2 linked regions of the Drosophila melanogaster genome follow. Changing the gene in region 1 together with any one later gene gives a genetic interaction. Each region holds a gene or a part of one and is shown on either strand. Other genes may lie near its edges.

The links.
Region 2: of eys (region 1) and rumi, changing one enhances a phenotype caused by changing the other (phenotypic enhancement), as found in Drosophila melanogaster (one study listed by BioGRID).

The regions. Positions count from the first base shown.
Region 1 is NT_033779.5:2,310,120-2,314,041, forward strand, and holds the start of eys (eyes shut), read left to right. Parts: upstream 1-1,560; 5' UTR 1,561-2,060; intron 2,061-3,922. Other genes in the region: CG9967 (uncharacterized protein), read right to left, coding at 7-308. UniProt on the Drosophila melanogaster protein: Essential for the formation of matrix-filled interrhabdomeral space: critical for the formation of epithelial lumina in the retina.
Region 2 is NT_033777.3:22,748,676-22,752,597, forward strand, and holds rumi (rumi), read right to left. Parts: upstream 1,923-3,922; 5' UTR 1,850-1,922; coding exon 1,714-1,849; intron 1,664-1,713; coding exon 564-1,663; 3' UTR 339-563; downstream 1-338. Other genes in the region: CG31139 (uncharacterized protein), read right to left, coding at 1-149, 205-316. UniProt on the Drosophila melanogaster protein: Protein O-glucosyltransferase. Catalyzes the reaction that attaches glucose through an O-glycosidic linkage to a conserved serine residue found in the consensus sequence C-X-S-X-[PA]-C in epidermal growth factor-like repeats.

The sequences.
Region 1 (3,922 bases):
ACTTACTTGAGGAAATCGCCGGCGGAGGGACGCAGGACAATGGCGCACGGATGCTGCGTGGCCCGCACAAAAGGATATGGCAGGCGGAAGGGCAGGAGGAGGAGGCGTGGCCCGGCCCTGTCTAGTTGCGCACTCGGATCCGCATCCCCATCGACATCCCCATGCGCATCCACATCCGCGTCCAGTGGGGCATTGCAATGGGGACAAGTGTGCGGCAAAGTGAAGCAGAAAACTTTCACGTTGCAGTGATGAAAACAGAGGATGCCCGGATCCGAGGTAATTGTGGTTGTACTTGTCGTAGCCAACATGGCTCTGCAAGTGTGGTTGCCTCTACAGTCGCAAAAAAGGATATCAAAATAGAGAATTCACATTGTTTAGAAGTCATTCACTCAGTTAATGTTTATTTCAAGTCTTCGTAACCCTGCTAACTAAATGAGATCTAAAAATTTTTTGACAAAATAATTTATATAAGATTGTTTACACTATTATAAAAGTGGAAAGTACACTGCACCATTTTATATAAAAACAAAGAAAGGTAATACCTTTAGTTCCTTTTCTCTTTGTGTTAGCTGCAACTCTGGTATCCTGCTTTTCGGCTCCTGGTTACTGGACCCCGGATCCCCTTCCTTTGGCCCCCGGCTGGGGATCCTTCGCCTTGTGCCCGTATTATAATTGATACACTTTGTCTATTGTGCCACTCTCCTCGTCCCCGTGGCCAGCTGCCTTTGGTGCTTGTGGCTTTTGGCCAGGCCTGAAACGAAACGTAACGAAAAATTGTTGTAAATAAGCCGAAACCAGACGAAGTTGCGACCAAAAGCGGTTTGCCTGGCACATTCAGGCGGCGAACAGTTTCTGTGGTTAAAAGGGCAAAGGTAAAGGAAGGGGTCATGGTAAGGACAAACAAGGAGTTGGAGCCTTTGCCATATTTGTCATCATTATTATGGCTGGTCATGGGTACCGTGTATTTAAGAGCTTTTCGATTTTTGGGGGCACTGTTCCTGTAAATTCAAAAAATAACCTAATAACAAAAATGAACAATTTTCAATAAAATCGTTATTAGAAACAGTGCAGTACTTCAATTCATTAGATTTAATATATTATTTGGACAGCCCAATGTAGTAAATCCTCCCTCGACAAAGAAACTGATTACCAACCCTTGTTAGCGTGTTTGGGAATATTTTGACTTACCAAAACCGCACCCTCTAACCAAAGTAAAGCTTCTCAATCAATTAAGTTCGTTTCGTAGGAGAGCCACCCCGAAAGGAGCAGTCATATGTTGGCCAGCAAAGAAAGCCGGCTTGAAAGAAAGCGGGCCAACACACAAAAACGTAAACAAACCGGCGAAATGCGAACCCACCACCTGGACAAAGGAAAAATCGGAAAACTGAACGCCACCAAATTGCCCAAAACAAGAAAGAGAGCAAAAGCGCTGGCTGAAGAGAGCCAGGGAAATTCTGTCATCGTAGATGGGAAATGCATAACTCACGACGGAATTTCCCCGCTCGGTTCTGCGGACTCGGCTTTTCGGGAACGATGGCTCTAAGGAAGCTCGAGGCGATCCAGTTGACGGCGAACCGTGCGAGCAGACGGTCGTGTTCCAGTCGCAGTCCCTCAAGGATCAGCTCAGTTAGTCGGGAACCATCATCAGTTGAAAAAGTCCATCATTACCATCGACACAAGTGCAACGGTGTGAAAAACAGAGAAAAACTGAGTGTGTGTGCATTTTCGTGTAAAAACGCAGGATATACCGTCCTAGCCAAGGAAGGATTTAAAAACATAAAACAAAAAATCAAATAACGAACGGATTTTGCTTGTTTACAACTCTTGCGGTCGGGACTTTTACGGATTTTCAAGGGAGTTAGTCGTGTTAGTTTGTGTGATTTTCCGCCCCCGTTCCCTGGGTGTTTGTGTTGTGCTGCTGTAAAGTGGAAGATGCCATGGCAACACATTGCTAATCGATGACGTGACCAAAAAACAACAAAACTAGCACACAGCAAGCGAAGGGAAAAACAGGGGAGTCCCCCGCCTCACACTTGGGATAATGACCATAAACTGACTTGGTATGTGGAAATCAACATAACGATAGCGAAGACGAAATTTTGGCTAACTGATAAGAGTGGCGGCTAACGAAACTCATATTTGATAGCCCCAAATGCCAGAATTTAAGTCTCTTAACTTTTGCCGAATGCCGCATTTCAAGATCGAAAAAGATACGCCAGAACGGAGAGCTGACATTTCGCAAACAAGCAGGAATGTCCGAACGGATGTAATTTATTCCAACTCTTCCGTTTCGGCCCCCATGACCCAATTAGTGGGCGTGGCACTTGTTCAAAATTAAAATGTTTACTTGGCAAACTTGCCAAAATAGTAAGAGAGCTACTACTATTCACGAAAACTTCTGTGACAGATTTAGTAGATAATTTTTTGAAAAGGGTAGCCAAAGACTAAGAAAAATAGAGATTTAAATTTTATCGGTGGCAATTAATAAACTAGTAGTTAATAAATGTGTTTGTGAGATGTTTTCGATATATAAATCGTTTTCCTTCATAAATATTCAAAGTCCTTTGAGCATGAAAACTTGCAAAGTGACCTTTTCTAAACTTCAGCTGCCTCAACAAGTTCCAGTCTCTTTAAAGATAAAAGCCTGCAAAACTAATTCTCAAAGTAGATTGAAAGTTTTGCCAAGAAAATATGTAATTAGTATAACGTAACGGAGAATTTAAATTTGAATTTCTATTAAATGCAATCTGCTTGGAAAATGCCAATATTAAAAAGGATTATAATCTAAAGCAAAGATAAATATTCAATGTTTTGCCAAAGTGATATTCAAACAAATTAAATTTGCTTTACTGATGAGCAAAAAGTTAAATTGGTTTTACTTTGGGTCATGAATAAGCAAAATAAGCTGGCCAAGTAAGATGGATGAAATAAATTGTGGAATTCGCTTAAAGCCTCGAAAAAAAAAAATCGTGGGTAACAAGCAGGATAACAAATGCAATAAAGGAAACGACAACAGGCCTTGGGAGACTCAAAAGGAAAGTAACCAGAGGTAGAGGAAAAAATGGGCCATAACAGCAACAATTTCAGTGAAATCCAAGCAAACTTTATCTCTATGTTGTTTGCCAACTTGAATTAAACACGCCCCCAACACACATGGAAAAAATGTCCGGGAAAATCTCAAAGAGTTGCGAGAAATGAAATTACAACTTGCATCCTTTTTTTTTTTGGCAAAGCACTTGGCCAGGACCTTCAAAAGGAATTGTTTGGCCAAAGAAAACATAGAAAGGCACAGCAACAGAAAGTACGAAAAAATTGTCTGAAATCGAGTTAAGTTTACGCATTTTGCGAGGCATACAAAAGTAAGGAATAGGGTATTTCATGCCATAAGGTATTTCAAAAATGGAGATGCGAAAAAAATGTGTAAATAAAACGTTTTTTGCTAAAGTCCTTTCACTCAACGCAGTCAAAGAAGAAAGGTGAAAATTGTTCAGATTGTCACGAAATCAAATACATCCCGAAGAAAAGTAATTTCATACATATTCCTTTAAATTTAGAACTTTGCTTAAAAAACTTAACGTGGCAAACGAACGTATTTGTTAAGTTCTTCTCTTGAAAAGCAAGTGAATAATTAAGTGCGAGTGGAAAAACAGTTGCCAGTACCTGCCAGTAAGTAAATTTAACGGCAGCAACTGACAGTAGAAATTGCTCAAAATTTCATTGTCCTGCGCTTTCCCCTTTTTTCTTGGTCCTTCGCGTCCCTTTTCCGGAATTCTTTTGCTTGGTCCGCAGCTGGTGACGCAGGATATAAATTACATTTGGAACAATAAGAAACAACAATTTTAGCAACAGCAGCGACTACAACAAGTGTTTCAGTGAATTAATAACAAAACGGCGACAATAACGACAAAGTTGAAAATCCTGA
Region 2 (3,922 bases), on another chromosome or scaffold:
CATCATCTCAGGTGTAATCCCCTTGTCCACATACGGTTCCAAATCCCTTTGAATGGTCGCCACATGGCAGAGGCATTTCGGATCACCGATTACGCAGGGTCGATGGATCGCCAGGGCGTGCAGGATGTGCGGCACAAAGTCGTAGCTGGCTGAAGGATACAAATCTTGAAAAGGTTATATTATATTATATTCTATATAGTTAACTATTTGAGTTTGGGTTGTGTTCGTTGACAGCGCATTTGTCCTTGGAGCACGAAACGCAAGTGCAGGAGAGGATTAGGGCTCCAACTAAAAAGCATATCCTTGGCTGGGTCATAATTAAAATTTAAAGAGAATTTACATATTTCTTCCAAATATATTTTAAACTTTGAGTCTTAAAACAAATGGCTTTCGATTGTTATAAAGATTGTATAAATGCTATATATATAAATAGGAAAATATTCGAGTTGTTCTCTAAATCTTGGACATCAAAAATGCATGGAATGCGGACAGAGAGATTCACGCTGCTCTAAGCAACTTAATACAAAATGAGAAATGCTTAAACACAATAACATTTCATTTCGCTACAGCTCATCCTTTTTAGGCCCTATGTAAATAAGTTGATCCTCCGGCTTAACCTCGTATTGCAGCAGCTTCACATATCGCTTGAGCAGCTTGCGCCAATAGCACTTGATGTCCTTCATGCGCAAATGCTCCCAGATGAAGTCGTATCCACGCTGAGCGATCTCCTGGGCCAGCGCATCGTTTTTCTTGAAAAAGGACAAGATGTGCTCGTACTCCTGCTGACTGGGGTAGCTCTTGAGCGGCACATAGTGCACCCAGGGCTTTAGTTGGTCGTAGAAGAACTCCTGCCACTCGTCGCCCACATGGAAGACCAGCGACTTGCAGAGGAACAAGTGCTTCAGACGAAAACTGGCGGCCACACCGCGGAAATTGAACAAGTACTTGTACTTGCAGTGGTCCTCGAAGGACACCTCATCAGCAGCCGGTGCGTCCAGTGTATCCTTAGGCGACTTCCAGCCCTGATTTTTGGTGTATTGAGCCTCGACTAGCTCCGGATTGCGGCGCGAGAGCAGAATAAGAGAATCACGTTCGTCCGAGGTGCGTGAACCGCGAAAGAAGCCCAGACTGCGTTTCTGTGACCAGGGTATAGCTGCCGCTCGCTTCTCCAGCTTCTCGCGCATCTGATCCCAGCGTCCAATGCCACGAGGATGGAGCTTGGTGGCCGGTCCTCCGGCCCAGAATGTCCACGCTGGATACATGATGTCGCGGTACTCCTTTGTCTTGGAGAAGGAGAAGACGGGACCACCAGCCGCGTTACCCCACGCCGCATTCAGCTGCGGATAGTCCCTGGTATTGATGATCAAGTCCATGTCGGGCAGCGTAGCCACCAGCGGCAGCAGGAAGTGTTCAATGCCCTCACAGCGGGCTGGGAACATGCAGTTGGCATCCCGGTACAGGCGATGTCCGTAGATCTTGTATTTGGTGCCGTAACGCGCTGAACTCTCGATCATCTGCCGGGTGACACCTGTTGACTTGTAGGGCGCGAGATCCCGTTTCAGAACATTTGCGTGGCAGGAGCAGTCGCTGTCCTGGGGATCACTGCTGCACGGCTTGTAGTCGGCATTGGCTTTTTCGATCTGGCGACGTATCTTGAAGCTAACTAAATTAATTGATTAATTAATTAATCGAAGCCGGCAACAAGTTGCTTACATTCATCCTCGTTTATTTGGTCGGGTTCACTTTGTGCACAGGATTTTTGATCGGCACTGCAAAGTCCGTCATCTTCTGCACCTCCTGTTCCTACCAAACTAATTAATAATACGACTATTAAATGATTTATTAGCATTTCTTTGGATGTAAACAAATTTGTTGGCCTTTGATTGCGGCGTCAGCAATAGGGTTGCCAAGTCAACTGAAACTATCGATATTCCAGAAATGTTTTTAAGGACATAGTTTTTAAAGTAAAATGAATGTCTACAATTGATGTAGAAAATAAAAGACTTTCTGCCATTTAGCTGCAAATAACTTAAGAGGAGAAGTAGTTGTGTTTTTAATAACTTTTTGTTACCTGGCAGCCCAGGCAGCAAAGCAGTGATTGAACTGTTACTTTCTTAGGCAGACCATGTCACTGCATTTGCAGGCAAAGCCCTGCAGTAGTAACCATTATTTTGTATGACCATCCATGTGATGGTCACCCTATGCGAGTAACTGTTCGCCGAGTTTTACTTTTGACGCGGTGTGCACACACTGGCCGATCCAACCATTATAAGAAAACCAACAAGAAACGTCGAAAGTTTTCTCCGTGTTAAAGCCAGCCAATAGCCAAATTACAAACGAAAACGACGATTTGCAATTTGCAAATTATGCGTGCGGCACCTAGTGCAATCGAAACCACGTAAACCCAACGAACGCGAGTGTTTTAGACCACCTGCAACCTGAAACAACCACCATTGTACATAATTTACACGAACAATTTTGCAACGACAACAACAAAGGACGCCGCGCTGAAAGAGAGAAGTTGACATAACTGCAAAAAGTAAATTGTATTTAACAGTGGTGGGCAACTAAATAAAGCCCGGATTGTAATATTGGCAACGAAAAATCGTAGTGGGAGTGGCCCAATTGCGAAAACGATGTTGTTTTGTTGAGACAATTGCCAAAAAGCCACCAAAAGTTCAACTAAAAAAGGTAATACATATGTATTTTTATTTATTTGCAAGTGTATCTGCATCTGTATGTGTGCGCGCGCGTGAGTGTGTGTGTGGGCGTACTACGAATAACAGTTAATTGAGCACTCATCGATTTTTTAGCCCCTTTATTGTGGCTCCTAAAAAAGGCAACTTAAATTCATTTCACCTCACGATCCGATCGCCAGATAAAATACAAAAAATAGAAAAAAAATGGAAGAAAAAACTGTTGGAAAAGTTGCCAGCCATCGTCATTAAGTTGATTTGCTACCGCCGCCGATGCTGCGATTTAATTTACCTGGCATTTGGTTTGCTTTCGAGAGCTCCAGTTTCCCATTCCGCCGCATTCCACCTGGGCTTTTCGTTTCTCGACTTTGATTTTCGTTTCCCATCCAGCGGCCGATTTTCCTGCTCGCCGACAAAAAAAAATCGTATCGCTTTCGTTTTCACATTGGACGGCGCGATATACTGGCTTTTTGTTTTTGGTCCGCGACCTAGGGTCGCATTGCCCCGCCCCTCCCGCACCAGCCCGACCGTCCATCAAAGCACCTGACTAATTAGTGTTGAGTTATTAACTTGATAATTATCGCTAGCCACGAGCGAGGTGCACTACTGGAGTTCTGCAGTGCAGGCCTACTTCCGTAACTCTAAACATCTCTTTCATTTTCCTAAGATATATGTATGTATAAACCATTTTAATGGCTTACTTTAAATCTTATTGTACAACATGGATTAGAGTATGTTAGGAGTAATCTCCAACTTATTTAATGTACTCATTTCGTTGTAATAATGTAGTATGATATCTTAATCAGATTCAACATTGTTGTTGATGAAAGTTAGCGGAAGTTGAATTGTATCTGTGCCTTGCAGTGACTAAGAACTAACTTGGCTATCTTTGAGGTCTTTTCGTTAAACTCGTTTGGAACACCATATCGAAATACTGAAAACGTTAAATACAAAAAAAAAAAAAAAAGAAACAAACACAGTAATTCGAGCTTGGCGCTGACTAAAGCTTCGCTTTGTTTATGGAAATATATGTGGTCATAATCAAGCTTTTGGAACCGAAGTCACACGTAAATCTTTTCTGCGCATTCAGACGTATCGATGCGATTGGGAGCCCCTCGACTAGCGTTTCCAATCAATGGTTCTTGGGAGAAAAACTTCGAATCATTTGCATTTTCAGTGGCGTGGCGACCCTCGCCTTCTAATGACTCGATTGATTTCCATTTTGG